Coturnix japonica: one gene and its partner. The protein of the gene in region 1 interacts with the protein of each later gene in a biochemical or structural test. Links are inferred from orthologs where the notes say so. Each region holds a gene or a part of one and is shown in the gene's direction. Other genes may lie near its edges.

Evidence for each region.
Region 2: the proteins of UBR5 (region 1) and PCK1 form a complex in vitro, tested with the Homo sapiens proteins (2 studies listed by BioGRID, with this or other methods). The link is inferred for Coturnix japonica from reciprocal best matches to the Homo sapiens genes UBR5 and PCK1.

What each region holds. Positions count from the first base shown.
Region 1 is NC_029517.1:117,665,276-117,669,105, forward strand, and holds part of UBR5 (E3 ubiquitin-protein ligase UBR5), read left to right. Parts: coding exon 1-8; intron 9-840; coding exon 841-984; intron 985-1,077; coding exon 1,078-1,189; intron 1,190-1,377; coding exon 1,378-1,532; intron 1,533-2,412; coding exon 2,413-2,610; intron 2,611-3,139; coding exon 3,140-3,350; intron 3,351-3,830. UniProt on the Homo sapiens protein: E3 ubiquitin-protein ligase involved in different protein quality control pathways in the cytoplasm and nucleus. Mainly acts as a ubiquitin chain elongator that extends pre-ubiquitinated substrates.
Region 2 is NC_029535.1:10,436,586-10,439,421, reverse strand, and holds the end of PCK1 (phosphoenolpyruvate carboxykinase, cytosolic [GTP]), read left to right. Parts: intron 1-399; coding exon 400-495; intron 496-1,053; coding exon 1,054-1,508; 3' UTR 1,509-2,163; downstream 2,164-2,836. UniProt on the Homo sapiens protein: Cytosolic phosphoenolpyruvate carboxykinase that catalyzes the reversible decarboxylation and phosphorylation of oxaloacetate (OAA) and acts as the rate-limiting enzyme in gluconeogenesis.

The sequences.
Region 1 (3,830 bases):
TTGGCAAGGTTTGTCTAAAATCTGCCAGTGATTTTTAATTACTTTACATAAGCTAATTGTCGAATTGGTACAGGAATTAAATCATCTCTGCAGTTCACTCCTAAGCTTTTCCAAACCAAGAAAAACGGGAAGGCCCACAGAAGTTATCCACACGTTTTGAGGATTTGGATTGCTTGTTAGCAGTCTTGTTAGTCTGAGTACAAATGTCTGTATGTCGTAGACCAGAATTAATGTTCAGGATTCTTGTGACTAGATCTGAGTTTTCAAAGGTTCAAAGGTAGCATTCTTGCAGCTAGCAAGTGGTGTGACTATCAGTAATACTCTTTATAGTAGAAGTCTTCTAACACCTTCATGATTATCAATAAATCCTTCTCTCTAGTGTACTTGGTAAGTTACACTTAACTAGAGAAATTGGGAAAAAGCAAGGAAATGCCTGGATTATTATTGTTTTTGATATCTTGAAAGTATGAAAATTACTTTTTATTCCAGGGGACCTCTAAGATGGTAATCTTATTACAGTTAGGTTTTTATTGCTTTGTAGGCAACTTCTTCAGTCAGTTCTTTTGGTTTCTGTTGGAGGTGGAATGCTGAAGGGAAGGGGCCTTCAACCTGCTTGTGTAATAATTAAGAAATATAGTTCTAAAGTGTTCAGAAACTTTAGCAGAACATCCAGGCTAATGACCAAGAGCTGTAGGATCACCAATGGTCGAGTTCTTTGTTTTCCTAACAAAGGTCTGGTTTACTTTGAAGAAGGTTAGGCTAAACAGTGTCTATTCAAAGCTTTTATTATATTAAAAATTAAAAAGTTTATTATAAAACTGTTATGTTTTCTGCTTGTAGGTGCTAAAAGTGGATGGTGCTTATGTTGCTGTCAAATTTCCAGGCACCTCCAGTAATGCAAATTGTCAGAGCAGTTCTAATTCAGATCCAGATCCTTCCTCTCTTCTCCAGGATTGCAGGCTGCTCAGGATAGATGAACTACAGGTGCGTATTTGAGACATACTGAAAAAATGAAGTGTTATGAAATATGAACAGTGTGTATTTTACTGCATCTTATCGTTTTGTGGATGCTTTTAGGTCGTAAAGACTGGGGGAACTCCGAAAGTTCCGGACTGTTTTCAAAGGACACCCAAGAAGCTGTGTATTCCTGAAAAAACAGAGATTCTAGCAGTAAATGTAGATTCAAAAGGTAAGTAGGACTTAACACTTAAATATACTCCATTATGTCCTTCACTGCCCTTCTCCTTAGTGGGAAACTGTTGCTGTCAGACTCAGTTAAATAGTTGTTTTCATTGACCTTAGTAAAAATGCTGTAGTTAAGAGTTCTTACTGAATACCGTCAAGGCATTAACATTTTTTTCTCATGCATCTCTGAAGGAGTTCATGCAGTCCTGAAAACTGGGAATTGGGTTCGATACTGCATATTTGACCTCGCTACTGGAAAGGCTGAACAGGAAAACAATTTCCCTACTAGCAGCATTGCATTCCTGGGTCAGAATGAGAGAAGTGTTGCTATTTTTACAGCTGGACAGGTTTGTTTTCTGCATTTCAGTCATTTAACCTCACTGTATCTCACTCCTGTTATCTTTAAGTGAAATGGTATAGTCTGTTCTGTAAGGCCTTTATAAATACTGGTGAAGAGTAGCTTTTGAATGAGTAGATTATGAAAAACTTGGTACTACCACTAATATTTTGAAGGGATATGTGGTATAGCAGTCCAACAAGCTTTAAGCACTTTTTAATTATATTATTTGAATAAAAAGTAAGAAGGGAGAAAAGCAACTTGACAGTGGCTGCTGTGTTAGCATAAACTCTCTATTCAACTAAGTTTTGGAAGTGAGATGGATAGAAATGTTAAGGAGGAAGTTCAGTAATATTCAGATTAAAGTGTTAACAAAAAATCTAACAAAAATGATACGTTAAGATTTTGTACAACTCTTAACTATCTGTTAAATATCCTATTGTATCTGGTTATGTGGCTGATTACATGAGTTGATCTTAGAAAACAATAGTGAAGTCTTTCAGTGATCAGTTTTGTTTAGGGTAGTTGAAAGAAACTCTTGGTAAGGGGACTGAATTTTTGTTGTATTTCAGCATATTCAGCTTTTTTGGGAGTATTTAAGTAATCAAAGTGTAATGTAGGTATTGTCATTAGTAATGTTTCTCTGTGAACACTTGTCATTAAATAAGTACTCTAAATAATGTTTACTGTTTTAAGCAAATCTTGGGCATTTAAAAAAGGGAATTTATCTTTTGCTGCCCTGTTTGTAAGTATAGGAGACAATGGCATAAATGAGTGTTCTGGGTCAACTGTTGACTCTGTTGGCAATAAAGCATGAAACGGACCCTCTTGTGAAGCGTAATATTTGTAAATTGTGGAGTTTAATTCTAAAATATTTTTCCCCAACATAGGAATCTCCGATTATTCTCAGAGATGGAAATGGTACAATCTACCCAATGGCAAAAGACTGTATGGGTGGGATACGAGACCCTGACTGGCTTGATCTTCCACCTATTAGTAGTCTCGGAATGGGTGTTCATTCCTTAACAAATCTTCCTGCTAACTCAACCATCAAAAAGAAAGCTGCAATTATTATTATGGCTGTTGAGGTAAAATAGTTTCTGTAATACAGAATTATATGCTATTTTTCTCTTGCTTCTATGAAATTATGCTTCAGGCAACTTTGTGTTTGGATACTAGTTTGTGTTTATACCACATAAACTAATTTCAGCAGAAAATTATCATAGAAACATGAAAGCACAAATTGATGTTGCAGAGTGGAAGATGCATTTTGGTAGTTATTGACCCCTTATTTATTTTTTCCAGTCATACCACTTTTCCCATGTTAAATTAAATGGAAGTAATTTGTCTTAAGAACATATCTGTGAAGCCAGAAGTGTGCTTTTGCAAGTCACGATAACTTCTGCTGCTTGAACCTGCCCTTGCTATTAACTCCTGTGCCCATTTTGCGTTTTTAGTAGTGCTGTAATTGAGATTATATGTGTTCTCAGACATTCCTGCTGAGAATGTCCTTTGTTTGGGCTACTTAAAAAAATGGAAGACAGGATGTACCTATGAAACTTATATGCCTGTGGTTTTTGTATTTTCATTTAACTTACTCTATTCTTTTGAGTACAGAAACAAACCTTAATGCAGCACATTCTCCGATGTGACTTTGAGGCTTGCAGACAATACCTGATGAATCTTGAACAAGCAGTTGTCTTGGATCAGAACCCACAAGTGCTGCAGACGTTCCTTGGCCACAGATGTGATGGAAATCGCAATATTCTGCATGCTTGTGTGTCTGTGTGCTTTCCAACCAGCAACAAAGAAACAAAAGAGGAAGAGGGTGAGCTCAACAGAGTCATGAAAATAGTTTGAAAGCAAAATTTTATGCATTGTCCAGATAACTTGTTTTAAAATCTGCATTCCTCAGATATGAGTAGCTTAAAATTTAGCACCTAAAATGTTTCTGAATCCGCCAAAGGTGATGAGATGACATTTTTATTACTGTCTTAAAGATTTATAGGAATTCAATACTTGGGAATACTGAACTATTTTTACTCATTCTAAAAGGCAAGCTCTTTGTATCTCTATTAATTTTAAATGACAGCAAATATTTTTCAGCTTTGTCGCTGGTATCCCTGTTATATCACCAGCGAGCTTTTAAAGGAACAATATTTAATATTTTTCAAGTGTTATATGGATGCTTTCGATGTTGCTTGCAGTTGACATATTAAGAAGCATAAGAGACTTTTTGTTACTGCTAGTCACTGACACCGCTTAAAAATGTTTGTTAAATATTGTTATGTATAAAACACATTAACAG
Region 2 (2,836 bases), on another chromosome or scaffold:
GAAATGATTCAAGATTTAAACCAGTTGTAGGCAGTCTACAGATAAAGAAGTTAAATGAATTGTTCTGTTAAAGACCACCTAGAGCTGAAAAAATCAGAAGTAATGCTAGGCCTGAATCTAATACCACAAACATGACCATGGGACCAGAATCTGCTTCCAATGAAATCTGTTGGGAATTCAGATATCTCCCAGCTGATGTGTTCAATAATGATTAGCCAGTTTTGAAAACATTCATATGAATTGCTCTAAGAAGGCAGGAAATTAACCAAGTTAAAAATCAACAAGAAAAATTAGAATAAATTACACAGTAACTGGGATACAGCAATATCTCAGTTAGCAAAACCTGTCATAAAAATGCTTCTGAATCGTTAATTACTGAAGTGACTTTGTTCTTTACAGGTGTGCCTCTTGTATACGAGGCCTTTAACTGGCAGCATGGAGTATTTATAGGAGCAGCTATGAGATCTGAAGCAACAGCAGCTGCTGAGCACAAAGGTAAATCAAAATCTAGTCTGCCTATCTGTGTTACAAGCTACTTTCTCTGCAGAGCCTGCTCTGTCCTCCCCCTCTGCTCTTTCACACTTAAATCTTGGCAGCTGATTTTGCAACCTATGCATTTTTACAACAGAAAATATTTATACTGGAATTAACAGCCAGATTTTCCTGAAAAGACAAATTATGCAAAATAATCCCCTAGGTGGCAAGCGTACAGAACAGAGTGCAATCATGGTGCTGCCAGAAGAGTTGATATGGAGTTGTTACAGCCTGGGCTAAGTAAACTTTAATTTTCTGTTCTGCTAATGCTCAGCAAAAATAACCCAATAACGAAGGGCAGCTCTCGAGAACCTTAAACTGTTTGACCTGAGATTTAAGACATTTACTTTCCAGTGATTGCAAAGATTAAACTAATTTGTACTTCAAGGCTAATGTTTGTACTGTTTCTCAAAGTTCTGTGGTTCATATGCAGAAAGGTGGCTAAGGGTGCTGGGTAATAAATACTGGGAGGAACTGAAACTTTGTGCTTTAAATGTTTTCCATTTGTGTTTTGAACAGGAAAAATTATTATGCACGATCCATTTGCCATGAGACCTTTTTTTGGCTACAATTTTGGCAAGTACTTAGCACACTGGCTTAGCATGGCACACCGCCCGGCAGCAAAACTACCAAGGATCTTTCATGTTAATTGGTTCCGGAAAGACAGCCAAGGGAAATTCCTGTGGCCTGGCTATGGAGAGAATTCCCGTGTGCTGGAGTGGATGTTCAACAGAATTCAAGGGAAAGCCTCTGCCAAGACAACTGCCATAGGTTACATCCCTGCTGACACTGCTTTGAACTTGAAGGGCTTAGAAGACATCAACTTAACTGAACTGTTTAATATCTCCAAAGAGTTCTGGGAAAAGGAGGTGGAAGAAATCAAACAGTACTTTGAAGGGCAAGTTAATGCTGACCTTCCCTATGAAATAGAAAGAGAAATGCTTGCTTTGGAGATGAGAATAAAGCAGTTGTAGCTGATCAGAAATACAATTATCAATCCACACGTTCTGTAACAGGATAGAAACATTTCACCAAATCACCACTGAAAGCACAGCAGCACACTGATGAGCAGGGGTTGTGATGAAAAGCAGGTCTTAGTTTAGTTAGACGACAGGTAAAGGCATCCTAGAAATAACTCCAGACCTGTTGATTTATAACTACATCAGTTGTTGAGTATTGTTGAGCAGCTGTGGGAATCTGTGAGCACACAGTCTTAAAACTGTGATCTGTCACTTGCATGCACAATTCTGCACATACCCATGATGTATGTAAATTGCTTGCTGACAGCTCTGTAGGTATAATCCAGCCTGCAAGGTGTAGCACATTGCTTCACAACTGCACATAAACCACAAGAGTTTCAGATTAATTTTGTTTTTCATATTTTAGCAGCATCACTTACAGGAAAGAATGACAAATGTTGTATATATGTATTATCTAAGCATACTTCATGACTTAAATGTATTGTAGAAAAACACAGTTGTAACTTTTATCAGAGTGAAAGATGACTTTGTATTACTAATGCATATTTAAGATATTGCTATTATATATGCCTCATGTTCCTGTGATTTCCAGATGTTTTACATGGCTTATTCTTTAAACTATTGAAATAAAAGTTTATACAAAACGTGACCTAATTTCCAGTATTCTCACTGTTTATAAAACTACGAGCCAACAAATTGGGCCTCCTGACAATACCACAGCACAGAGACAAGTTCACAAGTTAGATGTTGAATAGCATTGATCTGCTACTCTTAAGCAAAATAGTTTAAACTATTACTTTCCTTGCAACCTTTATTCAAGCCAAAGGAATGATGCAGAAATTATGACACCAGCTGAGAGCAGTCATCCACCCAGCTAGATACGTACTCTCCATAACTGGGCATTATTAGTTGATTCAGGCCTTTGTAAAATAAACTGCCCTGTAGGAAAGTCCTGTATCAGGATGTTTGCCTCTGTTCCTCAGTTGCTTGGCTTCTGCAAAAAGAACTAGTGGAACTGCTGAAGCAAAGAGAGCTTGTGAAAGGCTTCCTAGATTAAGTGAGGTGTCGGAAGCTTTAAAGCTTGAGCTGAAAGGGCCTCAGACTGGTTTCCTCATAGATCAAGATTCTAAAACCATCCCATGTTCTCCCAGTTTAAGCCCATTTTAAGGTACCCTTTATGTGTTTCTCACATCCTTGGCAGGTATCATGCTTTTTCACTTCGAATGCTCTATCTCCCAAAATATATTGCAAATATTTGCTTAACAAAAAGAAATCGTTTACACTGTGTAATAAGCCCTTTTATAGACCCTGCTTCCTCCCAA